Linked DNA regions of Mus musculus: regions 2, 3, 4, 5, 6 and 7 are each reported to be linked to region 1. The links are microRNA targets in miRTarBase. Many come from high-throughput screens and were not tested one by one. Region 1 holds a microRNA gene; each other region holds the end of a gene's coding sequence. Distances are from middle to middle.

Evidence for each region. The annotated mature microRNA mmu-miR-703 reads AAAACCUUCAGAAGGAAAGAA and lies in region 1 at 2,997-3,017, opposite strand. An mRNA with a match to its seed (bases 2 to 7 or 8) in the 3' UTR can be bound and repressed. Matches are read on the target gene's strand: a 7mer-m8 pairs with bases 2 to 8, a 7mer-A1 pairs with bases 2 to 7 and ends in A, and an 8mer does both.
Region 2: the mRNA of Prex2 is a reported target of mmu-miR-703. Seed matches in the 3' UTR shown: 7mer-m8 at 2,457-2,463 and 7mer-A1 at 3,521-3,527.
Region 3: the mRNA of Tlx2 is a reported target of mmu-miR-703. Seed matches in the 3' UTR shown: 7mer-m8 at 3,180-3,186.
Region 4: the mRNA of Ptcd1 is a reported target of mmu-miR-703. Seed matches in the 3' UTR shown: 7mer-m8 at 762-768.
Region 5: miRTarBase lists Gpr3 as a target of mmu-miR-703. Seed matches in the 3' UTR shown: 8mer at 1,126-1,133.
Region 6: miRTarBase lists Usp43 as a target of mmu-miR-703. Seed matches in the 3' UTR shown: 7mer-m8 at 3,021-3,027.
Region 7: miRTarBase lists Phex as a target of mmu-miR-703. Seed matches in the 3' UTR shown: 8mer at 2,021-2,028.

What each region holds. Positions count from the first base shown.
Region 1 is chr5:98,472,620-98,476,687 of GRCm38, forward strand. Mir703 (microRNA 703) reads right to left here and starts at 3,045; the gene lies at 2,937-3,045. All of the region lies in intron 2 of Cfap299 (cilia and flagella associated protein 299), which reads left to right.
Region 2 is chr1:11,297,305-11,301,372 of GRCm38, forward strand. It overlaps Prex2 (phosphatidylinositol-3,4,5-trisphosphate-dependent Rac exchange factor 2), which reads left to right. Exons shown (of 40, transcript NM_029525.1): 40 at 404-4,068. The coding sequence ends at 449. Among named protein-coding and RNA genes, the nearest start is that of A830018L16Rik, 110 kb to the right of the region's middle.
Region 3 is chr6:83,065,427-83,069,494 of GRCm38, forward strand. It overlaps Tlx2 (T cell leukemia, homeobox 2), which reads right to left. Exons shown (of 3, transcript NM_009392.2): 2 at 3,628-3,865; 3 at 2,899-3,548. The coding sequence ends at 3,332. It overlaps Dqx1 (DEAQ RNA-dependent ATPase), which reads left to right. Exons shown (of 12, transcript NM_033606.3): 11 at 664-854; 12 at 1,007-1,793. The coding sequence ends at 1,166. Among named protein-coding and RNA genes, the nearest start is that of Tlx2, 2.8 kb to the right of the region's middle.
Region 4 is chr5:145,144,757-145,148,824 of GRCm38, reverse strand. It overlaps Ptcd1 (pentatricopeptide repeat domain 1), which reads left to right. Exons shown (of 9, transcript NM_133735.2): 9 at 320-1,447. The coding sequence ends at 493. Bud31 (BUD31 homolog) reads right to left here. Exons shown (of 6, transcript NM_001310771.1): 4 at 3,804-3,926; 5 at 2,216-2,382; 6 at 747-990. The coding sequence ends at 940. Among named protein-coding and RNA genes, the nearest start is that of Bud31, 6.4 kb to the right of the region's middle.
Region 5 is chr4:133,207,001-133,211,068 of GRCm38, reverse strand. Gpr3 (G-protein coupled receptor 3) reads left to right here. Exons shown (of 2, transcript NM_008154.3): 2 at 1-1,729. The coding sequence ends at 702. Among named protein-coding and RNA genes, the nearest start is that of Gpr3, 3.5 kb to the left of the region's middle.
Region 6 is chr11:67,851,733-67,855,800 of GRCm38, forward strand. It overlaps Usp43 (ubiquitin specific peptidase 43), which reads right to left. Exons shown (of 15, transcript NM_173754.4): 15 at 2,791-4,068. The coding sequence ends at 3,749. Among named protein-coding and RNA genes, the nearest start is that of Gm40032, 9.2 kb to the left of the region's middle.
Region 7 is chrX:157,162,112-157,166,179 of GRCm38, forward strand. Phex (phosphate regulating endopeptidase homolog, X-linked) reads right to left here. Exons shown (of 22, transcript NM_011077.2): 22 at 1-3,551. The coding sequence ends at 3,449. Among named protein-coding and RNA genes, the nearest start is that of Gm52451, 97 kb to the right of the region's middle.

The DNA of each region.
Region 1 (4,068 bases):
CAGAATCCTCTCTGTGGTTTGGTTGAATTTGCTGAACCCAAATCACCATATTTAACCCTTTAATTCCTCTTTCCTATATTTAGTATACCATTGTTTACGAATGCTTGGCTGATTGGATAGGAGTAACTTACACATGTGGAGACGTTGGTCAGATCTCTGTGCTCAGATATCTGTATGCCTTGGCTAGACTTAGGAGTAATCTGCTCCCGCCCTGGCTTCTGAAATGATGTCACAGCTTGAGCCTGGTTCTGCTTCTTTTCCATCTCCGCTCTTCTTACCTTAATATTCACATTTTTCATAACTTCCCATATTATTCAGGGAGACATTAAGTGTATAAGAAATACCAATTTTTTTAAAGATGCGGCTAAACTCGTGAGTGCTTACCAACACGTAAGTGTCCAAATATGAGATATGAAGAACAAATCTCGCCTTTTCATTCACTGCAAACTCTGCTGTGAACAAACAGTAAACACTCTCATGTGCAATGCCTTTCCTCTTTCTAGAAGTATCAGCTTTAATAGAAAGCTAATTAGGTAACAAAACCTTAAAAACTGTATTGTTATTGCTGGCGAAGGGGCATGAGCCCTGCTGCTGGTTGCTCTGTTCACTGTTTGAAAGATTCCTGCTAATATTTGATCAGGTGTGGGCTCTCAGTGGAAAGCAAAACCCTTTTAACCGCAGAACTCCAGCTGAAGTGTACGAACAACAGTAATACTTTTTTGATCATGTACCCCATAGAGTTTCAAATCCCTGACAGCAAGCGCAGTTTTTTTTTTTTTTACTGTTACCTGTTCATTTTACTAAACAATAAAATATGTGATATTAAGGCCCACACAAAGGCATTTCTTGGACATTGGATTATATAGATTATAATAAAAATTTTATAGTAAAGTTTTTAACTGACAGCATGCTAAAAATGTCCAGAAAAATAACATTAAAATCATGCTATGAAAATGATTTCCTAATCCAATTATTTATTTTAAAGGTTCACACATTTCTGCTCTGTAATTGAGAAATAAAAGATATGTTGGGAAGATAGAGAATATATAACTAAAATATATTAATTACAATGACATATACATTGATATTCCTAACTCATATATGTTCTAAGTATAGATAATTAGCCACAAAATTACCAAATATAGAAACAACATTGCACTGCAGAATTAACTAGGTTTTTTTTCCCCCATGGAGTGCATTTTATATGTATGGCACCTCCAATGATAAAGCTAAGATTTCTTCTTATGTCTTATGCTTGTAGTTTGCATATGGGTAATATAGGTGACCATTAATATTTTCAAATTATTTATTTGATTAAGATAAAAATAATCTTTATCATTCAAGGAAGTATCTAGATACAAATAGGCAAAGAATAGAAACTAGGTTTCTTTCCTTATCCAGCATAAGAAGTAATTCTGTATGGAGTGTCATTTAGTAAATAGTACTATGCATCACTGTTTTAAGTCAGAAATACAGCTCTACTTAACTGAGTTTACATGCATATTCAGAAATTTAATAGACCCTAATTTTACCAAAGAGAAGAGAGCCCTAGAATGGAAATTTCCTGTAGATACTTGATGCCCCAGGGAAGGGGGATGCCTGGAGTAGATCACCCACTCAGAGATGAAAGGGAGGAGGATGGGGGAAAGAACTCTGTGAGGGGGGACAGGGAGGGGGGTACAACATTTGAGATGTAAATAAATAAATAAATAAATAAATGAATAAATAAATAAATAATAAAAATTTTCACTATTCATATTATTTTCTATAAAGCAAACATGGAAAAAAAAAGAAAAATATTCCTTCTGTGGTCCTGATCTTTAAATATTTTCATGGTACAGATGTGACTGTGTATCTTACTCTGACCAAGCCAGATGAAATTCTCAACTGGAATAGCAGAGCTGTAATGTCCTTTATTGGAAATCAGTGGTTCATTTTATTATCTAGATTTCTTCTGAGACATCACCTAAGTATTTGAATGGCACAGAATATTTTAAAAGCTGTAGAAACAAGAGACATTAATGAAACCAGGAAATACTTTGTTAATATGAAGGCAACTTTCCAGAGAGTTAAACAAAACTTGAACAAATTTACTATTGAACCCAGTAGTTATAAAGTATATATATGTATAGCTAGCTATGATGGATAGGGCCATGTCTAAAATTAGAAGTTGATTGAAATAAAATGTAACCTTCCATTTTCTCCTCATTACATGTGAAGAGAATTTATTTGGTCAGCCATAAGAAAAAATAAGTTTATAACTGAAAATATAATTTATTATATATAATTAAACATCTGGTTTTTGTTATATTTCTCTGCAATACATATCTGAGTCTTAAAAGCCTATTTAAAAGCCTCATTGTTATATAATTCAGGACCTCCGAAGGGGCTACCTAGTGTCATCTGAGGTAGCTTCAGCTGTGGCTAGAGATACACTTCAAAGATGGAGCCTTCATTCACATTATAGGTGACTAACTTCTCTGACTAGTGGCCGGTCTGTCTCTCTCTTCATATGACAACTCATTCACTTGAGCTTTTCTATGTGGTGTGAAGTTTTCATAGCATGGTAAGTTCAATATGGTTGCCTTTGTTATATGTGTGAGCAGAAAAAAAAATCATGACCAGTATTTTTTCCTGTATTTCACTGTGGGACATTATCAGATTCAAGGAGGTGGAGGGGGAAGGATATGTTTCATGACGCCTCTACTGTCATTATCATGGTTCATAAATCACAAATCTAAAGAGTGCTTATTTACTGAGAAGCAGCGTTTATCATAGCAAATAAATGGAATGAGCCCAATCAGTTATCAGTAATGAAGAGAGGAAATGATGGTTTTCTAAGGACGGAGTCTTTTTTTTTTTTTTCTCATTAAACTTGTTTTAATGGTCTCAAATTCTGTGACAGATTTTTGGTCAAGTTGTTTCCATTAAAAAGTACTGATTTTGAAAACTAATAACTTAAAACTGCCACACACAAAAAAAAATGGTCCACAACATTCTTTCCTTCTGAAGGTTTTATGATGCATTGTTATCATTAACCAGTCTTTTACTTTTATTAAACTTAAATGGCCAATTGAGACAAACAGTTCTGAGGGACGGAGTCTTAAGCAGCTGAAGGAGGTGGTGGAGGAATCTCCTAGCAAGAGCAAGTTAGGTCACACAGTATTCCCTTGAAGAAATTATTGGACCTGTGGTCCTTTCCTCTTTCTTCTGTACATCCTGGCCATTGTGAGGTAAACCTATTTTTGTCTGCCACATGACTCCAATCATCATATATGATGTTACCACAGGCCAGTGGTGCCTCAACCATGAGAACCATCAGTGGGGCCATTCAACTCTGAGTGACATCAGTGAAACTTTCCAATGATGAGACGCATCAATGGATCCTCCCAACAACTAAGGAGATATTATTGGAGTCACTAGATGGATGGAACCAGTATAGTAAAACCATCAGACTATAAGAAGCGTCTTTTGAAACCAGAGGCCAAAAGAAACTCCTCCACCTTTTCAGTGAATTATCTTCAATGTTTCGTTCCAGTAGTGAAAAGCTGCCTCATACCTTTTCCAGCCTAAAGAGCTTTAAAACAGTCTCTGACCACTCGCTACAGTATGTACCCTAAGGCAAAAAGATCTGCAAAAAAATCGAACACTGTTTTCAATAAGTACATTATTCTCTTTGGAAACATTAGTAGTTTTATTTTGAGATATTTGTGGTAAATCATTGAGTTGCTCTGTTGTTATCTGTGGACTTTAGGACTTTGATACTTAGGAAAGGAGTCTGTGGTTGTCATGAGGGGGCATCTCACATGGAGAGTACAGCTGCTCCCTTAGCCCATCAGATCCTGAAACCCACAGTGTGTTTGCAGGGAGGCCACATCTTCCACAGGTTTCTGTGTCTAGTGGCTGGGTGTAATGGGATGTTCTATTACCTTTTGGGGGGGAACACCTACTCCTTATTGTCTGTGTTTGGATGAAGGTCTCCTACGTGACTTTGCTGAAGATTCTGTGGCACGTTGCCACCTCTGTCTTTATCTGTCTCTTTCCCTCCTTTTTGCTTTGTTGAGACAT
Region 2 (4,068 bases), not on the chromosome of region 1:
TTTCAAAGACCCACATATCAGATTTCCTGCATATTAGATATTCACATTATGATTCATAACAGTGACAAAATCACAGTTAGGGAGTAGCTGTGAAATAATTTTATGATTAGGGGTCACCAAACTCTGAGGAACTGTATTAGCCGGTTGCAGCATTAGGCCAGTTGAGAACCACTGTTAAATGATCAGCCTTCTAAACATGCACAAAGAAAGAGAAGCATTTTCGAAATCACAGGACCAAAACTAGATTAAGCTGATTCAGATGCTATTTTCTACAGTATAATCAGTGTAGTGATGGCTGATGGAGCCAAGAAATTAGTGTTGATGTATTTGTTCTACCAATAAAAAATATTCAGGTAAGAGTGGTGTTATAAGTGACTGTTATGCTGTCCTGTGTCCTTTCTAGGCTGTACAAGCTCTGCGAGCCACCACCTCCAGTAGGAGAAGAATGAGCATTCCACGTGCCATGGGACAGATGCTTCCAGATGCTGCCCAAATTAACATTCTCCACCGAAGACAAAGAGATGCAAATTAAAGATTTAAAGTTTTCCCATGATGTAAATAACTGATGTTTGGTTTGGACATTTATGCTGGAACTAGAAGTTCCTTCAGACAGTTCAGCCTTACACTCTATACATTAAGAATACAGATTCACATTAGGGCAAAATTCACTTCTCGTATTTGTAGAAAAATATACAGAGATAAAAGATTAACTATTTTGGTTCCTTTCTCATTCATTAATTATATTGTATTTGTGTTTAGCTTCCCCAATGGACAGATATTATACTTGATAGTTTTTCTTGAAGAAGTCTGTCCTAAAAATGATGACCACACTCTGGAAACAATCATACAGAAACGTTAAGGACAGTGTAGATGAGGAGTTACAGGTGTCCCATATACCACTTGAGTCACCAAGAAAGGCGCATATGAGAGGTAGGGAAGTACCTGCCTCCCTTTCTTCTTGGGCTTCCTGGTAACAAAGAGAGCTCAGAGGTTCTGGCAAGACTTTTTCCCTTTTGTTATGTCTAGTCTCTGGTCTTGTAAACACTCCAGTAGGCAGGTGCTTTTCTTGATCTTTCCAATGAGCCATGAGTGCTGCGTGATGGACCACTGATGGCGGTGGGTAGGAAGTTGCTAGGTTGGAGAGAGAGGAGTGAATGAGGATGGAAAATAATACATGTATTGACCACTCACCCCTTGCCAGAGAAAGATAAATTCTTAATTATATGAAGTCTTACTATGAAATGTCAGACTGTTAAAATAACACACCTTCCTGAGAATTTTTCTATCAAGTTATATGTGTAAGATATGAAAATAGATTTATTTGTTGTACTTCAAAAGGTCATTAGAGAAAAACTTTGATAATTTATGGAACCAAGGTATAGACTGTATTCATTCTAAAGTATATGCAATATTTATCACTTCTGTGTTAATATACTAAAATTATTTTAGCACATAAATATATTAATATTGGTTTTAAATATATATCTTTACAAATAATTAAAACAGCATCACTGTGATTATGATAGTTGTGCTTTGTTTAATGACAGGAATAAATTGTGCCTTTAGGTGATATTATCATCGTATAAATGTCATGGGGTGTACTTACACAAGCTGAGATGACTGTGGCCTCAGACACTATGACCTATGGAACCACTTCCTATAGGCTGTGCATCACTGGCCCAAAGACCTCTAACAGCACAGAACTGTGTGTGGATATGGGCTAAGCACATGAATTCCTTACTTTAACTACAGGTTTGGCAAACCATTATTCAGCTTTACTTTATAAATCTCATAATGAATTTCAGACTATCATTAAAAGCTATCATTACTGCCAGTGATATATTGAATTTAAAAGTGTGCTTCAAAGGTATGGGATACATATATCCTACAAGTTAAGAGTGAAAATTATTCATCACAGAGTACATAAGATTTTTCAGTAAATCTATTTGTGACTAATCATAGAGAAACCAACATTAGTTTCTAAAAAAAAGCCTTAGCATTTTGAATTTAATAAAGATATGACCTACGTTTGCATATATGTGACATACATCCATAACTTTCAGGATTAATATTTTTGCTATCATCAGCATATAAGTGTGAAGCTCTGGTAGTTCAGGCTGCCTTCTCTGAAAGTCTTGAGCGTAAGGAGAGCTGATTGCCCGACTAGGCAGACCCTTCACACTGCTTTACTCTTCTGTGTTCACCAGCCTCACTAAGTCTCCATAGAGGAACAGAAGGGCTACGAAGCAAGCTTATTTTATTTTTTCTCATTAAACTTGTTTTAATGGTCTCAAAATTCTGTGACAGATTTTTGGTCAAGTTGTTTCCATTAAAAAAATACTGATTTTGAAAACTAATAACTTAAAACTGCCATACACACACACACACACACACACACACACACACACACACACACACACACACACAAATGGTCCACAAAACATTCTTTCCTTCTGAAGGTTTTATGATTATATTGCCTGGGCATATTATCTGCTTTTTCAGTATTTATAAATTAGTGTATTTTAAGGATCCAGTCTATATAACAGAATGTGGTTAATGTTATCATTTTTGTTAAACATATTATTTGTGTACACAGCACTTACAAACTATAAAGCTTGCTAGTGTTTTATAGTAACGTCTATCACTGTCATATTTTTTCATAGTAAAATCATAGCTGACATGGTTTAGTGTATTCTAAATGGCACCTTTAATTACCTAGCCCACGTTTTGATATTCCTCCTTCACATAGCCTTGTAGCAGGGATGAAAGCTGACCTTGTCTTATTACCTGTACTTCACAGTTCTGCTAAGCAAATACTAACCCAGTGACTTGCACAAGTCCACTTGATGAACATGGGGGAGTCCGAAGTTAATGGTTAAAACCTGTCTTAAGGATTGCACTGCCTTTATCTGTTGTATGAGTACCATTATAATATTAATAATTATTTTCTGACTAAAGTTGGAGTTTTATGACATGTATTGTCATTTAATTTATATGGAAGATGTTGCAAAGTCCAGTGGGAATATGCAGAATGCCTTTAAAGTGCAAGAACTATTTTCTTGGCATTTTCCATTCATAACTGAAGAGGATCCACATGTATTGCAAGCCAGGAGTAGGACATTATATAAAATTTGACTATAATTTTAAAAGTGTTAACACTTAAAAACCTTTGATAGATGAGTAATCATTTTCAATACCATAATATACACATTCTTTTGACATTGGAATTTTACAGGCCTTGGGAGTTTAGAACTTTAATGTTGCACTATCCTCTGCAACTGGGGATTATTGATAAGCTAAGGAAAACACTGCTTACTGTTCTTACAACTTCTATATGTGGACATAGATTCCTGTCTACCCATTGAGAGATTTCAGATCTTATGGGGACAGAATCATATTTACTATCTTACAGATTTTCTCATTCGTTTTAAACATTACAAATTTAATTTTGTAAAAATATGAGAATTTAAGGGCTGAAAATATGAGAGAAAGACAGACAGAGGATGACAATTTCTGGTCCAGGTTTACTTGGCAGAATATGTAAATGCTGGGTTTCTACTGCATGCTCTCTCCTGGAAACCAGAATCCTCATCTTTAGGAGCATGCTACTTTCTTTCCTTTTAACAGAAGTTTTCTGATGTCTTCAATCCCCTGTGTATTCATTTGGCTCCTCTTCTTGCTACAAGATGTTCAATTAAACAGGAAGGTAGAGCTGGGAATGTGGCACAGTGGTTGAGTGCTTGCCTAGCACATGTGAAGCCATGTTAAAATATATTGGCTCTCCTTTAAACCAATGGTGGCTCACACCTGTAATCCCAGTACTTGGAGAGTCAGTAGGATTTTCAGGAGTTCAAGGGAAGCTTGAGATAAATATGAATGTGAGGCCAGTCTAAACTACAGTGGGAGACATGGCCCATGAAGGAAACAAAGATACTACAGTGTGTGTTACATGGGGTTGGTGCTATTTCTGGCTCTATTAATTTTAACTTTGAATAGCTCAATTCAGAAAGAAATGAAGTTGATCCTATGTTAACTTTAATGGTGAAGAAAATCAATGAGAAAGAAATT
Region 3 (4,068 bases), not on the chromosome of region 1:
GGGGGACGAGCTGAGTGGGTAAAACACCTGCCTCCATCTCAAGGACAGAATTCAATCCCCAGAACCCTGGGTTCACATGTAGTCCTAGCACTGGGCAGGCAGAGACACTTGGGTCCCTGGGACTCTCTAGCCAGCCTAGCTTAATGGCAGGTTCCAGGTTCTGTCCCCAAAAACAGGTGGATGGCACCTGAGGAATGACACCCAAGATTGCCACCTGACGATATTCATTTTCTCTCTCTGTCTCTCTCTCTCTCTCTCTCTGTGTGTGTGTGTGTGTGTGTGTGTGTGTGTGTGTGTGTGTGTCATATGATCTCTTAGAATAGGGGTCTGAGGGTTTGGAGGACAAGGGGCCATGGAATATGTCCTATGGTGAAGCAGGAGCAGACCTAATTAGATCGACTTTCCGGCTTTACAATACTCTTACTCCTTTCGCAGCCCCTTCTCTTTCCTTCTTTCTTTTTAAAGGCAGCAAACAATGAGACAAGGTCTCATGTTGTCCAAGCTGGCTTCAGACTCTCTAAATACCTCAGGCTGGCCTCTAACTTCTGCTCCTCTGGCTCCCAGATGCTGGGATTCCTGCCACGCCCAACCTTGGCCTTCTTTATTTTCTGTGCTCCATTGCTTATTTTACTTATTCCACCCATGTTTTTGTGTTTCAATGAGGTGGCCCGAGACACAGATGGGACAGGAAATTATCTGCTTCTCACCCATAAACACGTAGCCCAGCTGTCTCCATACTGCAGCTACCGAAACCGCAGGACTCCAGCCCAGCCACCCACGTGGGTGCTGTACCACAGCTTCTCCATCTCGAAAGACAACTGCCTTTGCATTGTCTCTGAGATCCAGCCTGAGATGTGAGTTTCCCTCACTCATACAGGGCCCTTCTTCTCCCAGGGCCAGGAACCAAACTGGGGAGTGAGATGTAGGAAGAGGGTTGGTGGAAGCAGGGCGGGGAGTGAGGGGCAGGGGAAGGCACAGATGATCCCATCCTGACTTTCTCTGTCAGGCTGGTGGAGCTCGCCCCTCCATACTTCCTGAGTAACTTGCCCCCCAGTGAGAGCAGAGACCTCTTGAACCAGCTGAGAGAAGGAACAGCAGAGCCACCAGCAGCAGCGACTGAAACTTCCTCTCCCCAGGAGTATGGAGATGGCTGTGTTCTGCAGTGAGCTAACTGCCTAAGGAATGGAGCCAAACCTCATCAGAGAGCGCCAAGGCAGTCAGACTTAGAGACCCAAAGTGTAGGGTCAGATATACTCCTGGAACCCAAGAGCCAAGAACTGTTAGGAGTGGGGGAAGAGAGCGCCACAGTTCAGAACAAGCATACTTTTCTTCTCTGTCCATGGACATGGGAGCAGATGCCACTCACCCCACCCATGCGGCGCCTCACACAACCTTGTCTCCTTGGTGAGACTATAAAAGACTTTGGTGGGGGGTGGAGAGATGGCTCAGGGGTTAAGAGCACTCACTGACTGCTCTTCCAGAGGTCATGAGTTCAATTCCCAGCAACCACATGGTGGCTCATGACCATCTGTAATTGGATCCAGTACCCTCTTCTGGTGTGTCAGCTACAGTGTGCTCATATACATTAAATAAATAAATCTTTTTTTTTTTTTTTTTTTTTTTTGGTTTTACGAGACAGGGTTTCTCTGTGTAGCCCTGGCTGTCCTGGAACTCACTCTGTAGACCAGGTTAGCCTCGAACTCAGAAATTCACCTGCCTCTGCCTCCCAAGTGCTGGGATTAAAGGCATGTGCCACCATGCCCATCTAAATAAATCTTTTTTTTAAAAAATGATTTTTCTATGATGCCAAGTTTGATTTTTAGTTCTGTAGTGCCATATACAACATCCATGAGTCAGAGGTGACACAAAAGGAAAGGCCGACTTCTGCAGGTGCAGCCTCCTGCCTGCCTCCGCCCAAGCCTCTGTGCTGCTATATCTGTCCCTAGCACAGAGCATCCGTGACCTGGCTACCACAGGTCTGTGTCCCGTCACAGTGTTCTAGCCTCTGCCAGGAACAAGAGGGGGACAGTGGAGTGAGGCGAAATCTCCCTGTTAAGCCAGAGAGCTTTGTAACCATCCTCCACTTAACCAAAAGCCTGCGCCCTCTGACTCACCTACAGTCTGCAGTCTCTCTAATTTTTCATTATAGTTTGTGTGTGTGTGTGTACACCCACAACACATGTGCAGTGGTCAGAGGATAGTTTGTAGAAATCAGTTTTCTTCCACAAACTTGCCCCTAGGGCTCAAACTCAGATTGTCAGGATTACTGCAAGTGCCATCTCCTAAGAACATTCCAACTTAAAGCCGCCATCCTTCACTTCTCCCTAACTCTTTCCCTTCTGCCCTTAGTCTACTCGAATTTCTGAATCCACCACCATCCTGCACATCATAAATGTGTTTGTAGAATACTGTGGAAAGAAAGGCTCAATCCATGTAACTCCCCAGAGTTCCCTGTGCCTTCCCGCCTTTACCAGGAGATCTTAGACCCAAAATTTCATCTGTCTCCACCCCCTGTGATGTCATGGAGATTCCCCCAAAGGCAGGCATTAGCATTTTTTTCTCTCTCTCTAAATCTAACATTAGTTTTGCCTACTGTTAATCTTGCCCCCAGTTTCCCCTTCCTGGCCTACACATCTCCAGTCTTAAGGTCATCTTTGGTTCTTCTTAGGTTTGCTAGTCCCAAAGCATGTCTCTTGCTCACTCTAACACTGGGCCCATGAATTCTCCACCGGCTCCCCATCTTGGCTCTCTGACCCTGCATGGCACGGGAGTCAGGTTCTCTTTCTAGAGTGTATCTTCTGGGTATATAAGAATCTATCTTACCTATAGCATAAGTGCGTTAAAACTCAAGATGGAGAGTCCGCAGATTGGGCAGGAGACAACTGGAGACTGAGGCTAGAAGGAATCCTTAGTTATTGTTTTACAGATGAGGGACGAGGTCCCTGTCACAGTAGGCCACATTCTCTACTGCCAGCGCCTCTTCCATTACCCCTCCCCCGCTGTCCTTTGATATCTGCCTTTACACCAGCTCTGTGGTCCCTTCCCAGCAGGACCTGAGCTCTGAGCCCACTCAGGGCAAAGTCGCAGCCTTGCAGGGTCCCTGCTTCATCCACAATCCTGCAGGTTGCTCTTGCAACCCACATCTCAGCGGGGTTTTTTTTTTTAAACAAAACAAAACAAAACCTTGAAGGGCGGAGTCAGAGTGTGGGCCAGGGGCCACTGATGACCAAAGAGCCTCAGAGGACGGCCGCGGGCCGCGGGCCTTCTGCTCCTCACTCTTCGCTGGCGGTACGGCACCCGGCCACGTTGGCGCTCGTCGGGCAGGTGTCGGTCACACCACCGAGGCGAGCCCGGACACCGAAGCCACCTTGTTGTCTTCCGCCCAGGGCTGCAGATTCTGCAGCGCGAAGAGCGACGAGTTGTGCAGGCAAAGCGGGTCCGGTGGCAGCGGTGGCCGCAGCGGCCGGGGCAGCGCGTCTTGCTGCAGGTGCAGCAGCAGGCGACCAGCGCGGTGCCGCTCGGCCTCGCGCTCCTCCGCGGTCTGGCGCCTGGGCGAGCGGAGAGCCGGGGTCAGCGGGCGTCCCGGTCCTACCCCGCCACTCGGCCCGCCCGCGCCCCGCGCCTCACCGCCACTTGGTGCGTCGGTTCTGGAACCAGGTCTTGACCTGCGCGTCCGTCATGCGCAGGGCCTTGGCCAGCGCCGCCCTCTCTGCGGAGGCCAGGTACTTCTGGCGCAAGAAGCGGCGCTCCAGCTCCAGCACCTGCGAGCGGGAAAAGGAGGTGCGCGGCTTCTTGCGCTTCGGGGGGGTCCGGTTTTGGTAGGGATGGCCTATGCGACGTGTCCCAGAGAAGGGCGAGAGCGCAGCTACGGGACGGAAGAGCAGGGCAATGTTTGGGGGTAGTCCGAGGTGAGACTGAGAAGAGAGTCCCTAGTCCTTATCGGGGTTCCTCCCCCAACCACAGAAGCCTCATCAAGAAAGGGCTTAGGAAGAATCGGGGTCCTCCCAAACTTCACCCTGCCCCTCCTCGCCGTAGGCACGGTGGGACTGCAGAGGCAGGGGTGCATGC
Region 4 (4,068 bases), 47 Mb from region 1:
GGCTAGACGGCTGTTAGGCAAAGAGTGGTATGGCCTATTCCCAAATAACAGATTTTCCAGAACTTGGCCCTTTACAGCAATGAATCTAATGACAAATTATTTGGTAGTCTCCTTGAGGGAAGGAAGGACAGTGGTCAGCTGCTGTGACTTGGGATAATTTTGGGTGATATGCAGTAGCTTAGATTGGCTGAAAACATTTCTGAAAGCTCTGCTTTCTTAGCATATCCTGTGTTCATTGTACAAAGCTATGGGTTTCACAGTGAGGCTTCTGTGCCTGTATCTCACTCACACTGACAGTCCTGTGCATCTCTAATTATAGTACAAAGGAAAAAACACCTACTTGGAGAAGATTGATGGCTTTCGGGCTTATTACAAGCAGTGGTTGAAAGCCATGCCAGCAGAGGAAGCCCCCCACCCCTGGCAGGAGTTCCAGAACAAGCCTGTTGGGGACCAAGACACCACTGACAAGGCTGGCGGCCTTAGGGACGGATGACGGAGCACGCGGCTATGACAAGTGCCCAGCCTTCACACTGCTGGGGGAGCCTGGGAGTCCTTTCAACTTCAGAGGCCAAGAATATTCCAGAGGCACCACAGCACTTTACAGGCAAATGCTGGGCTCAGGGTGCCCAGATCATAGCAGGTCCCACACCAGGCCAAAGCATCCTGACAACGATCATGGTCACACAGCATCTACAACACAGAGCCAGGACTAAGCCCATCCCCTGGCACTCTTAAAAGAAAGAATGTAGCGAGGAGGTCTAAAGGTTTTATTTTTACAGATCTCAGCTGGTGAACACTAAAGTCGTCACCTGTACAGCTCATGCTTCCCCCCCTGGGTCTTTTCTCTGAGCACCACTCTGAGAAGAGTTGCTTCAGGCAGTGGCCCAATAAGTCTTAAGTCCAAGGTCCAAAGACCAGGATGCAGAGGAGTCAAGGGTGTCAGCCAGAGCAACCCCGGCAGCCACAGTGTGTGCACTCGATGATGCGACCCTGAAACAGAAGAAGAACATTTGAACACACTGCTACAGCCCTGCACACTCCCTTGCAGAGCATCTCTACTGGACACTTCTACTTGGGCGTCTCAGCTCCTTTGTGACGTGGAACAGTTACTACCAGGCGGAAGTTAGTGTCTGTGTGTGATTGCTGTAACAAGACACACTTGTCACTGCCAAGAGGGCGAAAGCCAGAGTTCCTGAGGCCACTGGGTGGGGATGGGGGTCCTGGAGCAATGCTGTCTTTACCTCCTTTTCTGGAGGCCACGAGCCCATTCTAAACAAATAAAGTTCTCTGGTAACGTTCTGTTAGTTTTAACTGAGTGCGTCTCATATATAGGATGACCCTAATTTTCTGGTCCTGCCAACAGCTGCTGAATGCTAGAATGACAGATGTACACTTGCACATCTGGCTCTATGGGGCACTGGAGATGGAACCTAGGGCTTCTAGGGCTTCACGCATTCTAGGGGGCCATCTACCACCTCAGGCAACATTCCAGCCCTGAATCTCAGTTAAACCTCAACCACAGGCTGGGACACCAAGAGCTTCTTGGGAAGCAGCTATTGCCCACGAGCCATGGCTCAGCACATCATACAGAGCTCCACCCTTGATACCGAGGACAGAGCTACCTGCTGAGCTGAGGCCATCTGCACTCAATGAAAACTCTGGGAATTAAGACTTGCTTCAGTGTACTGAGAGGACACAAAGTCAAAGGATGGACTGTCTGTTCTGACCTCCGTCTGGCTCTCCATTTCAATGATGTGGAGACTGGAGCCCAGCTACTGCTTGTGGGTGCCTGGCCTGCCCTTGAAAGCACTTTTTCTTCTGAAGCAGGACCTCAGTACTAGCCCAGGCTGGCCTCCACCTCCCAAGTCCTGGCTATGGAACAAAGCAGAAGGCATGCAGAGATGAATGTGCCTGTGAGACTCGAGGGATAGATAGGTCACCTGACAGCCAGCCTCAAAGCATAGCCCTCCTGTCACTTGAGAGCCACTGCCATCACTACTCCCTAAGGAGTGAGGTCTGCTGCAGTTACTCGCCCACTGACAGTACTGAGACCAGCCCCAGATACCACCTTAAAAGGATCCCTGGTCAGGACTCACTTTTGAGAAGGGTGGCTAGAAGGGTTCTAGTGATGAAACTACTTCTCAAAATACCCTCATGGTCAACTAAGACAAAGTTTTAAACAGAAAGTAACCCCCATCCAACCGCTGGGCATTACCACTTCCAGCTTGCTTTTGGGAACCCGGCAAATGCAGTTGGTGCCAAAGTTGGTGTCCCGAGTCTGAATGCAGCGTAGGCAGCATAGGTTCTCATAGCCCTGCTTCTTCCACTTTGCAATCAGGTTTTTGTCTGCATAGCCTTCTTTAATGCAGTATTCATAGAGTTCTGTCAGAAAGTTGGGGACAGACATCAGAACATGGCGTAACAAACCTGCCTTCACCTTGGACTGAAAGGAAAAGTTAGGCTGAGTATGACGGCATGAGCCTTTGATCCCAGCACTTGGGAGACAGAGGCAGAACAATCTCTAGTTCGAGGTCAGGCTGATCTATAAATTGAGTTCTAGAACAACTATGACTACATAAACCCTGTCTCAAAAAACAAAACTTAAAAACAGCAACAAAAGCCAATAATCCCAGAAATGAGCAGAGGCAGGTAGGGCATTGTGAGTGTGAGGTCAGTCTGTATATAATAAATTCCATGTCAGCCCGGGCTACAGAGTGTAGCCTTATTTCAAAAATAACAACACCAACACACACAAATGACTTCAGCTTTCATGGTAAGAAAACTGATGACTGATGGGTTTGCAAAGATAATCATTGCTTTAATTTCCATTTCTGGAGCCACGATCTCCCACTACTGCTGTGGATTTCCCTAGTGCTATTTGTATTTTGATGCTAATTCTGTTTCCCCAAGAGGGCTGCCTGGGACGTGGAGTGAATCATTACTCGGGTGACTTCATGTGAGCCTTCTCCCCATTTTAACTTGTAAAATAAAGACTAGAGCCGGTGATTGGGCAGTGGAGGGGAAGTGGAGCTAAAAAATTTTGGGGGGAGAGGGAAAAAAAAGTGAGGGGGAGAAAGAGGAGAGGAAGGAGAGAGGAACACTGAAGTGGAGGACGAGGTAGAAGGAAAATGGAGCAGCAGCACGTGGCCAAGAGAAATCACAAGTTAAGAGGGATCTCATAGCTGTAGCAGTGTAGGAGTAGATCTGCCCAGTCTAGGCACGAAGCTTGTATTCGTATTGAGTTGTGTTTTCCTTGCATGGGCTTATTTGGGTTGGAGATTTACCACAACACATTACAGTCAAGGGTTAGCTGGAACTCCCTAGTCCTCTGCCTCTGCTTCCCAAGTGTGTAAGTATAGGTCTGAACCATGACACTTGGCTTTTGTTCCCTTTCTTTTCTCTCATCCTCCTCTTCCTCGTCTTCTAGTTTTTTAAGACAAGGGTTCCTGTGTAGTCCTGACTGTCCTGGAAGTAGGACACATAGAGATCAGCCTGCCTCTGCCTCCTGAGTGCTAAGATTAAAGGCATGTGCCACCAGACCCAGCTTTTTATAAACTACTGTATAAATCCTGAAAGCCACTCAAGTACAAAAGAGCCAAGAGGCAAGATGGCCCAGGGACCAAGAATGCTTTCTAGATAGGTCTAATGACCTGAATTGGATCCCCCAGACCCACATGGCAAAGAGAACCAAAACTGCAGGTTGTCCTACAACCTTCACACGGAAGTCAAAACACATGCTTGCCTCCATAAGTATGGACACACAGTAACAGTTTTTTTAAAGGTCAAGAAATTTAGCCATTTACCTCTGCTTATGGCTTTCCTCTTGTAAAAGAGGTCGAAGATATAGCGGGTTTTCTGGTGATGGATCCTGAAGATGGGCCACAGAGATTCCACTTTCCTCTTTCCCTCATGGGGTTCAGTTTCAGCTGGGAAGAAAAAAAGCATGTATGTGTTCTGGAGCTAGTCATTCTACAGAGGATGTAGCATGTTTGCTTAACTATAGCTATGACTATTTTATATCCATGCAGATAGTAATGCAAATAATGAACAATTAAAAGGGCCAACAAG
Region 5 (4,068 bases), not on the chromosome of region 1:
GCGGCTGACTTCTGCATTGGCTCACCAGAGATGAGCTTGATGCTGGTCGGCGTGCTAGCAATGGCCTTCACTGCCAGCATCGGCAGCCTGCTGGCCATTACCGTTGACCGCTACCTTTCCCTGTACAATGCTCTCACTTACTACTCAGAGACAACGGTAACTCGGACTTATGTGATGCTGGCCTTGGTGTGGGTGGGTGCCCTGGGCCTGGGGCTGGTTCCCGTGCTGGCCTGGAACTGCCGGGATGGCCTGACCACGTGTGGTGTGGTCTATCCACTCTCCAAGAACCATCTGGTGGTTCTGGCCATCGCCTTCTTCATGGTGTTTGGCATCATGTTGCAGCTCTATGCCCAGATCTGCCGCATCGTCTGCCGCCATGCCCAGCAGATCGCCCTCCAACGACACCTGCTGCCTGCCTCTCACTACGTGGCCACCCGCAAGGGCATCGCCACATTGGCTGTGGTGCTTGGCGCCTTTGCTGCCTGTTGGTTGCCCTTCACTGTCTACTGCCTCCTGGGAGATGCCGACTCTCCCCGTCTCTACACCTATCTTACCCTGCTCCCAGCCACCTACAACTCCATGATCAACCCTGTCATCTACGCCTTTCGCAACCAAGATGTGCAGAAGGTGCTGTGGGCCATCTGCTGCTGCTGTTCCACTTCCAAGATTCCATTCCGGTCCCGGTCCCCTAGTGATGTCTAGTTTCATCCTGGTGAACCTGTGGCTTTGACTACTATAGAACTCCAGAGTGTTAGGTCCACCAGGGCTTAATTCCAATCCCCAGCTCCACGCCCTTAAGACCCAGCTGGTTCTGGAGTTCTAGGACGTTGGGTGTTTTAGGATCTTATTCAAGATTCCTGCGGGGGGCCCACCCCAGCTGACCGCGTGGCTCTAGAATGTTCCAGATGGTCAGGGTCCCACTCGGAAATGTCTCACAGCCCAAGTGGTTTGCAGTTCCAGAAGGCTGGGAATTTTACAGTACCATTCCAAGTCCTTGATCTTCCTTCCCAGAAACTTGACCTTGATCATGTCGCTTTTGAATTTCGAAGCTCCAGAGTCAGAGGTTAATCACTTAGTTGCCTAGATGAGAGAAAGATTTATCTCTATATATGTGGACATACAGAGAAGGTTTATTTATTTATTTATTATTTATTTATTTATAAATTTGCTTATGGGTGGTAAGGGGGAAAAAAGAGACCTACACCTAGAAATCTAGCTCATATCAGGGTATCCTCAGCCTCCATGACCCCATTTCTGACCTCAGTTTCCGAAGGGGGCGGGATGGAAAAAGAGAAACCACGTATTTTGTTATTTTTGCTTATTTTTTATCAGAGAAATCATAGAAACCAGAGCCTCCTCCCCAGGCCCGCACTGCTCGGGTTTGCAGGGAGAACACACCAGCCTCTGGTTTTTTATTTTTTTAAGAAGCCATCACCTGAGCAACCGAGAATTCCTCTGCGCTGAGGCCCGGCTTCCCTCTGGTGGCCATTTGGGGGAATTGCAAACCGACAAGGCAGTCGGGATTGTAAAATGCACCCCCATCTCTCACTCCAGCCTGGCTTTCAGCGCCACAGCCATGGCCTGGGGGCCAGGCCTTACCCTGAGGTGCCCGAGAGGAGGCGGGACAAGAGCCAGTACCCCCACCCCTCTGCCAATCGGGTTATGGCCCCCAGTGCATTCCTGTTCAGTCCCCAACCCTACTCAATAAAAAAAAAATGGTTTTTTTGGATAAATGCTTGTGTCTGTGCATTTGCATAGTGTGGAGTTGAGCCAGAATAGTGGGACCCATAATGCATCTGGGAAATTAGTATCCCTTGGACCAAATCCTGGACATCAACTTGCAAGAACCTCCCTATCCAGGGACGAGAACCAGGATACTCCTCTTAGTTTGAAGGTCCCCACAGCTTGTCCACAGTAGCCAGATCAGGGCTTAGGCATGCAGAACATGTTTGTACCATGCAAGTTCCCTTCACAGCAATAGCTGCCTTCCACTGTGTTTCCTCTGGGCTACATTGTGCTAAGGGTACATGCCTAGCTAGGATGGATGGCACAGGCTATCTGGTCTCCACCTTAAATGTATGAGAAAACTGCTGAGGTCATACAGCTAGAAATACAAGATAGTATTCAAACCTGGAACATCTGTTTCCAAAACCTGTCCTCAGTCTCCTGGACAATGACTTTTCCTGTTTGTTTGTTTGTTTCCTACCCTGGAGCTCAACCTTCTGGACCTTGCCTTATGTCCTTGGGATCAGTGGCCCACATTTGGGAGGTGGTCGCATTGGAGAGCTGGTGTTCGCAACTGGACACTGGAACTGCAGGGGCTTAGGAAGGGAGGAAGCTCATCGCAAGAGCAGAGGCAGCGTCAAGGGAAGCTCTGAGCTGGGGCCGTACACGCCTGCATTCTCTGTGTTGGAGAGGCAGAAGCCAGAGGAACATGAGGTACCAGGCCACCCTCAGCTACACATTAAGTTCAATTCCAGCCTAAGGCACTTAAACCCTAGCAACACCGTAGCAAGGGTGGAGAAACAAGAGTTAAGAGCTGCTTCTACAGAGGACCTGGGTTCAATTCCCACTACCCACATGGGGGCTCCCAACTGCCTGTTACTCCAGTTCCAGGGGATCGATCCAGCACTCTCTGCTGGGGACAGATACACATGTAGACCAAACACTCATTCACATAAAATGGAAAGGCAAACAACGGTGGCAGTACGTGTCTATAATCCCAACCCTAAAAGGCCAGCTTCAGCTCATAGCAACTTTGAGGCTAGCCAGCTATGTAAGGCTCTATTTCAAGAATACATACATACATATGTACGCCCATACATACCTACGTATGCATGCTCTGACTAGGTCAGCCGGAAGGAATGGTCCATCTCATGAGAACATTTCTGCCCACGTTACAGTTCTACCATCACACAGCTAGAGAAACTGAGGCCCCAAGATGAGCAGCTTGGTCAAATTCAGTTGTGTCAGGTCTGCTGGGACCACAGTTCTATCTCCATTCCCCAAGTTCCTGCTCTTTTTCCTAGAGTTCAAGACTCCTCTCTAACAGAGGCTCCAGGGTCCAACTCGCAGGCACACAGTGAGGGATGCCTACTAGCTCAGGCCGAGCCTTGACTGTTCTCTCTCCTCACCTTTTTTTTGGAAGGTCCCTGGGAGGAGCTCTTCACTGGGCAAGCTCCTGCTCCAAGCCAAACTGGAAGCCAAACAATTCATAGACTAGCGCCTCGGCATAGGCAGCAGGGCAGATGCTCCATGCTTGAAGAAGATGGATGCTGGATATAATGGCATGTCTATTCCCAGCACTGAGACATTAAAGCAGAAGGCCAGAGGCTCAAGGCTGGCCGCAACTACATTGTAAGTTCAAGGCTATTCTGGGCAACATGAGACTCTGTGGCACACGCCTTTAATACCAGCATTCAGGAGGCAGAGGCAGGCAGATTTCTGAGTTCAAGGGCAACCTGGTCTACAAAGTGAGTTCCAGGACAGCCAGGGCTACACAGAGAAACCCTGTCTCGAAAAAAAAACCAAAAAACAAAAAAGGGCTGGAGAGATGGCTCAGCAGGTAAGAGCGCTGACTGCTCTTCCAAAGGTCATGAGTTCAAATCCCAGCAACCACATGGTGGCTCACAACCATCTGTAATAACATATGATGCCCTCTTCTGGTGTGTCTGAAGACAGCTACAGTGTACTTACATATAATAAATAAATAAATCTTTTTTAAAAAAGAGAGACTCTGTTTCAAAAAACAGATAAACAAAAAATACAAAAGAAGAAGGCTTTGTGAATAAGTTGAGCACCGTGACACAGACCTGTAAATCCCAAAGTGCTATGTAATTCCAGTTACTGAGGCAGGAGGATTGCAAGTTCCAGGTTTCTCTGGGCTACAGAAACTCTGATAGTAACAAGCCATCACCTACTCCCTGATGTTCTTGCAGATAGCTTAATGTCTAGTAGAGGAACTAGAAAAAGGTTTCCAATCATTACAGTTAGAGCTGAAGAGATGATGTAAGCAGTTAAGAGCACATACTGCTCTCACAAAGGAACTGAGCTCGCTTCTCAGGACTC
Region 6 (4,068 bases), not on the chromosome of region 1:
AATCAATCAATCAATCAATCAATCAATGACAAGCTGGCAGGAGCTATTGTATTCATCCACATCTCCTTCCCCCTTCCCCAGCCTTTCCCATAAGAAATCGTTTTTTTTTGCCTGGGCCACACTCACAGGAATTCAAGACCCTAGGAGGCTTTGTCAGCCAAGTGGCCCCAGTGGAAACTAGTTCTCTCCTGAGGCTATTTCAACATCCCGAGAAGTCATTTGGTCTCAGCGAGTGGCAGAATGCCACTCAATGCCAAGTGACCCACATATTTATACCATTAATACTTGAAGTTTGAAATTACCTTGGTTACATCCACTACATTGTCTTTTCCAACTACTACAGGTTGCTTAACGGCAGTAATTTGTGTATTTCATGTCCTATTATCCCGACAGAGCCTGAAGCAGTATTTACCACCCAGTGAGGCCTGGGGATGTTTACAGTCAATTATGGTAAGTTCGGGGACATCACTTAAGCAATCCTGCCAAAGATCTAAAGTGAACCAAAGCAAAATTGCATCTCTGGAAGAACAAAGTCAAGGCCACAGACACAGAAAACAACCTGCCACCTGCCCTATTCCTATCACGTCTGCACTCAGTCCCCCAATTTCGTGCACAAGTGAGATTTAGAGAATTTATCAAAACTTAATCAAATAGCAAGCCCAGTGACAAGGAGTTTTTCAGATGCCGACTTCTTGCTGGAATGAATACCCCTGAGACCTGGGCCCCTGGGGCAAGCTGTTGATTTTACCCCAGTGGAAAACAATTCACCATTCTGATGAGCAGGAAAGGCCAGAAGCAACCCATGGCTGGGGTCTGGGCCAGATGGTCCCAGGTTCCTTTAGTGGCTTCTTATTCAAAGGACTGGAATAAGGGCTTACACTTATTTGTGAAAGCAAGCAACTTAGTTCAAAGTGAAGCTCAGATTAGGCAGGAGTGCACTATCAAGATTAACAGCAGAACACAGGAGAGTACTTACAGGCCCTGCTTATTGCTTGAGGCTTCCTTTTATGGGGCTCAAAGGAAGAATATGGTTGCTAAAAGGCCCAATATGAATGGTTCTCTGTTTTGATTGGTAGATTATGTCATGATATCATTTTCCTAGTGGTGCATGTCTTTTCCCATAATGCACCTGATTCTAATCATATGCACCCCCAAGTAGGCACAGGTTAAGATGGTAGGAATTCTAACTTCACTTGAGGACAGTTTTGCTTCCATATGTTCTCAAGACCAGTTCAAACTGGATCAGCCTTTCCATTCTTTCCTGATAAATTGGGGATACATCTGAACAGAAACTGTTTATGTTCTATTGCTGTGAGAGTAGGAGAAACTTGTCCCATTGTGCAGAGATGGGTGTATGTGTAGCTCGGCTAGGTGGGGGTCTGAGGCTGTCAGGTACATAGCTCAAAAAGGGGTCTATGTACTTGGAAAGGAATTGAGCTGCCAATCAAATTGGTGAGTGCTGCTGCTGCTGGTGTATGTGTGTATAAACCAAACCAAGTCAAGTCTCAGGTTACTAAACCATCCCCAAGCGCTTGCCTGCCCTAATTTGGTTTGAACAGATTATTTTAGAGTGGGCAGTGAGCAAAAATCCTGGCTCTGGTAACTTAGTAGCTGTGTGACCTTAAGTGGATTAAACTCTGTGCCTCAGTTCCTTCTTCTGTAAAGCAGAGTTAACAGTACCTACCCCAGAGGATTATAATGAGGGCCAGAAGGATGCTCTGTGGGTAAAGGTGATTGCCACCAAGGCCTGATGACGTGGGTCTAGTCCCTGGGACACACATGGTGAAAGAACTGGCTCCCATAAAGTTGTCCTCTGATGTCCACATGTGCTCTGTGGCACAAAGGTGCCATTGTGTACACACACACACACACACACACACACACACACACACAATGTAACAGATCTTTTTTTCTTTTTTTCTTAAAACTGGGAGGCACTCATAATCTCAGAGTCTAGGTCATTACAAGAGAGAGGCCCGGGTGCAAGCCTGAGTTACGACTCAATTTTAGAGAACAAAGTGAGACTGAGCTTGGTGTCAGCCAGGAGCAAATGATCAGCCGCCACATCTTCCATATCACAATTTAAGAACTGAAGAAATGTGGGCTGATAGGGAACTTGTAGCCCCCCGGGGGTCTGATTGTTGGGTCTTCCAGCTTCTTGATTATGTTAGTTCTATCTTGCAACTGTTGCTTAGATGAAAGGCAAATTGTCTTTCTCACTGGGGAAAAGAAGGAATCCCATTCCTCCTGATTTAAAACAAAACAAAACAAAACAAAACAAAACAAAAAAAGCTGTAGAGACATGCAACAACGCACACGGTGGTCTGGGGGACGACTGCATTCCTGTGGCCAGCAGTCTTGAAGAAATATCCCGTGAGAAAGGAAACACCCTCCAGAGAATGTTTACCTGAGAGGCTGCCAATGAGCTGCTGCTGGCCCCAGTCCTGGGTCTAGGCTTTGCAATGTCTTTGTAGGAAACTCTAAGGTAATCCTAGACCAGGTCCTTAAGTGCAGGCAAATACATAGCAGCACACCAGCGATCACCAGGTCAGCCAGGCAGCCTCAGACTCATAGGTGCTGGCTCCTTCCAGAGAGAGAAAGAGGCCTTAGTCTCCTTCAGAAACAGCAAGTCAAAAGCTAGACACGGTGGCTCATGCCTGTCATCCTTCAGAAGGTTGAGGCCGGAGGATTGCCAAGAGTACAAGACTTGTATGGGCTACAGAGTGAGACTCTTGCCTCAAAAATATATACAAATTTAAAACATCTTTAAATGAAGGAAAGGAAAGGATGGATGGAGGCACAAATAATTTTAATTAAGAGCTTTTTTTTCCCTCTCAAGTTTCAGAAACAACACAGGCAACTGCATTCTGATAGATAGCAACAAGCTGTGACTGACTATGCAATGTAACAGGAATGAAGTGAGTCACTTTTCAAATTTCAGTAATTCAGTCCGCCATTTGCAAGTTTCACAAACACAATTTTTATTAAAATTGTGCATAGATCTCATATTTTTTTTAAAAAAACCTTCTTTATTCTGATATCAAAATAGTTATCTTTTTAAAATACCGTGAAAAGCTGTAATACAATTTTGTTGCTATATATTAAGTAATCTTCCTGAGATATCAGTCTCTTCTCTCCCATCTCTCGCCGCCACTGTCACGCTCCCATCTCTCACCGCCACTGCCACACTCTATCTCTTATTCTTTTCTTTTCTTGGCATCTTTGACACTTATCCAAGACAAGCATGAAAAGGAAAAGATCTTTCTTACAAGCCCTTTATTTTTAAAAAAATGAAAGGAAAGAATGGGAAAAAGGAGGGAGGGAGGGGAAGAGGGAGAGGAAGAAGGGAGAATAGAAGAAAAGAAGCAGGGCATGTAAGCTAGGGGCACACAAGCTGGTGAGAGTGAGTATCTGCCGTGACATCAGAGTCTTTTTAGTAGACTATGGCAGGCCCTGGACTTACATACACCAAACACTAATTTTAGCCTTGTCATGATAATTTGGGCTCAGCAGCACCGTCTAGTGGCCAGGCTGTATCAAAACCCAGCAATGGGAACCCAACCACTTTGACACCAGGTTATTGGAATATGACAAGAGTTACAGAGACCAAACTTTTCTTTTTTGGGGGGGTGGGGGGAGGCCACAAGTCAACTGGATTCTAGAAAATCCACTCTGGACACAAGAGCCTACAGATTCTCAGTGTACAGCCCCAGGGATGGCGGCTTCACACAACACTGAAATGTTTCCATCAGAAGCTGGACTCAGGTAAGGATTTCTTTCGACCTAAGGAAAGGGTGTGGTATTTCACTCTCTGCAGGGTGCCATAAGAAATCTGTTCCCCAGGAATGGTCCTTTGTGAGGTGCCAGCTGTACTGGCTCGAGGGGGCCTGCTGGCTTTTCGGGGGAGGTGGAGAGAGCTGGGCGCAGATCTGATGTCCCTCTCCATGTGGTTGCCCAGGCCCTTGGCTGGGCTCTCTCGAATCCTGAGGGCCTGCTCATTCATGGCAGCAGGGCTCAGCCGGTCACTCCCTAGGGAGATTGGGGGTGCTGGTGGTGAGCTCTCAGTCC
Region 7 (4,068 bases), not on the chromosome of region 1:
ATTCTCATTGCTTCACAAAGGAAAAAAATCACAACCAAACCAGTCTGATAGTAATGACATAGATTGTTTTTAAACTGCACAGTACAAGAACATCTTTCTTAAAACCAATAAAGCATTGCCACTAGTGATAAAGATGTTATTCCATGGAACAATCATGCAGTTTTCCACAATTTAAGATGTACTGTGACATTATGCTAAAAATATCAAAGGCAGTGGCTACCAAATGATAAGCAATTTTAGAAATGCTGGTGGAATAAACATATTAGAAAAGAAGATACTCTAAGAGATGCAAGTTAATCCAAAGATCAGTATCCCGAAGCACAAAACCTGTCCTTCCATGCCCTGAGATCTTGGACAAGCAATTCTAAGCTTTCCCATTTCTCTTGGCATGAGCACTCTCTGTCTGCTGAGCCTTAGTTCCTAGTTTCTTCTTAGTGATGCTCTAGGGCTAAATAAGATAAAATTTATGGGCTATGCTTTAAGCTCCATTGACGTAAGGCACTAAATAAGCTTGAGGATAATTTATGAAATCTGATCTTACAGCAGTCATGCCCCAATCCATCTAATAAAAGAGAGTGAGGCAGGAATAGGAGGCCTATACTGAGTATTTGGTGAAAAACTCAGCAAACTTTGGACAACGGTAGTAAGGCCAAACAACACAGCTTTAAATCTACAGAGTCCTTGACTCACAAAAGAGAATTCCACACACATTAAAAAAGAAAAACTCCTTCAAATGCCCAGTTAATAATCCACTTGCAGAACAGCTGCTATATGAGTCAGAGCAGTGTGTTGCTGTAGCCCTAGTCTGAGATCCAATATTTAATTTCCCTTTGATTTACCATAATTATTTTTAAAGACTTTTTGGTTCTCCTCCAGTGAACATGTATATCAAGGAGCAAAAAAGATGCTGTCTTGTTTTCCTTAGGCTAGCTCCCCCTGCTTTTCTTCCATTCTTCAATTATGTCTGACTTTCTCTACCATTTAATCAGTGTCTCTTTAGGAAATCAAGCTGCACAGAGAACAATATTGTAGTTTGAAGGGTTTAACCAAAACACTTAAAAAGCTAGCACTTGTAGAAAATGTGTGTGGCTACTAAGAGTAATTTTGTATCTCTTGAAAATCCAAGTTGATCAAAATACTTAGTTACTAATCCTGTCATCCAGAAACTGGGAGAACTCTAATCACTAACCAGTCGTCCTTAACCAATAAACCAATACCATTTCCAAAGTCATAAATCTATAGTCTTCTCAAACACACTCTCTGACCTGCAGGAATGTGTTTGCTTGGAATTGTTAAAAAGGAAACTTAGAAGGAATGCACTATTTATATAAGCCTGGCAAACTTCGGTGTTCAGGAATAAAAATGAGTATTGACAAATCAGAATGGCTACACCAGAGAAAAGGCACATATATTTCTAACACCTCACATGATGCTGTTTGTGTTTAGAAATACAAGCCAAGGTCACTTTAAACCATGGATAAGAGGAAGAAAAGGCTGCTGCCCTTCAGAAGTGTATCCATTCGGAGAGGAGGAAGTCAAGGGGAAAATCACTCTCCTCAGACTAATGCAGTGTAATTGTTTTCCTTATGATGATGTCCTTCCATTTTTCTCTCTTTGGAAGTTCCCATGGTTACAAAAGGATATGGTTCACACTTACATTTCTTTTATAAAAGAATGACAAGTCACAAGGATGCAAAATTGACCTCCTGTGGTTCATCTGAATTTGTCATTTTGCTTTTGAAAATTTTCTATTGGCCCACTTAACCAGCACGCCATGTACAATGAATAATGTGTTGGGGGTAGGAAAATGCCTATACTAGATTAAAAATATTTAAAAAAAAAAACAAGAAGTACTCACCACTTCAATGCCATTACAATTTTATCCTACATATACTCTTAAATGTGATAAAAATGCCCTACATAAATACACACTAACACTAAGTTAATTAACACTATAGGTGTTGATTAAAAAAATAATGTTCTAAAGATCAAAATACAGTACTGCTTTTAGAAAAAAAAATAAACCTTTCATAAGATGTGAAGAGTAAAGCTATGTCCTTTAGATCTAGGTAGGATTGCTTAAATTGGATTCAGATATACCAAATGCTTTCATTCTAGAAGCTTTTGCAAAGATTTTCTTTTAAGGAGAGTTAACATTAAGTGGGCTGAGACAGAAGAGCATCTTGCCCCCTCCTCAGCGTGGCGTTTATATCATTATGCTAAAAGGAAATGAAAGCCATATGTTCCTGACATGGAAACAAAACATTCTTTCCTCAGTGTCTACTCAATTCAGTCAGGAAATAAACACAGCTGAGCAGAACAAAACAAAATCAGAACTGCTCCTTGACTGCTATCCATCAGACAGATGCTCACCATCATACAGAGGGACTGGATCAACGTTTGCAGAGTTCATTTCCTACTATCTTTATTGTTGTGTGATTGGTTGTTGTTAATAGTTTTTAATGCTGCTGGCAGTTAAAGACGTATTGGTTTTTTCCCTGTTTTATAGACCCAAATCCTTCACCTTTATGCCATGTTTGTTCATGCTTACTTAAACAGGGCAGTTAGCTACATCGGATGGAAGTTCTGAGATACAATTGTCCAATAGACTCCAAACCTGAAGAGAAAAACTTCCTAGTCGGCCATCATTGGGAAGAGAGGCCCCTTGGTCTTGCAAACTTTATATGCCCCAGTACAGGTGAACGCCAAGGCCAAGAAGTGGGAGTGGGTGGTTAGGGGAGCAGGGTGAGGGGAGGGTATAGGAGACTTTCAGGATAACATTTTAAATGTAAATGAACAAAATATCTAATAAAAATTGAAAAAAAGAAAAGAAATTATAAAATGAAGATCCAACACATTTCTAATTTAACTACCTTAGAATTAAGAAATGTTGTGTAATAACTGTACACCATAGGGCACACGTCTTTATCATTGAGGGTGACAATTTTCATTGACTGATCCTTTCTATGGATACACTCTACTCAGGCCCCCTGCAAAGCTGTAGATTGAAATGTCATGTACCACCGAGCTGTGGTTAACAGAAATGGATAATAGGGACATCGCCAGGAGCAGTTTAACCAAATAGCCTTGACACTTTTTTTTCATTGGTTTGGCTTTCTTTAAAAAAAAGAAAGAAAGAAAGAAAAGAAAGGAAAGGAAAGGAAAGGAAAGGAAAGGAAAGGAAAAGAAAAGAAAAGAAAAGAAAAGAAAAGAAAAGAAAAGAAAAGAAAAGTATTTGGCTCAGTTCTTGAATTCCTTTTATAAACCCAATGACTTTGAACAGATACTGTTTAGATCGAAGCAAATCATCTACCCAAATAATGAAAATGCATTAAAAATAAAAGTCTTCAAGGAAATATAGGCAGAAAGCAGTAGGTGCTAAGTATGTTAATGCGTCCTCTACTGGCATTCCTCAGCTATGCCAGGAAGGCAGAAACCAGCACTCCAGCTACCAGAGTCGGCAGGAATCTGCACCTCTGTTCATAGTGGAATTTCGTGGACAGTTAAAAGCTTTCTGAAATTCTTCAAAGTTGCTAATGGCACCATTGACCCTGAAAAACAAAAGAAATGGCAAAATACATGTCATTCAATTCCTACAAATCCATGGGTTCTGGATGAAATACTCCACTACAAAGGGGTCTTACATTCGCTTATTCTGTTTACAAGGAAGACACCTAAATCTCAGATAATGAAGAAAATAAATTAATGCCATTAAGAACAAAAATCAAGTGGGAGGGTGCTTTCAGAGCAGGGGAGGGAGCCATCTTGGGTCCCGGTTCCATCAGAGATCAGTTGGCACAGGTCAGCTCACAGACTGCTAAGGGTGAGCTAGCGGACTGCAGAAGCAACACAGCTTCTGGGACAGACCCCATTTCAGGATCCAGACATCCAGGCACCTTCCCAGCCAGAGGAGAGGTATCTGCCTGGGAGGGCTCGGCCTGACCAGGTCAGGGAGCCATCTTGGGTCCCAGATCCCTCAGAGACTAGTCTGCACAGGTGAGAGAGTGGACTACAGGAGCTACACAGCTTCTGAGACAGGAAGAAGCTACACAGCTATTGGGACAGGCT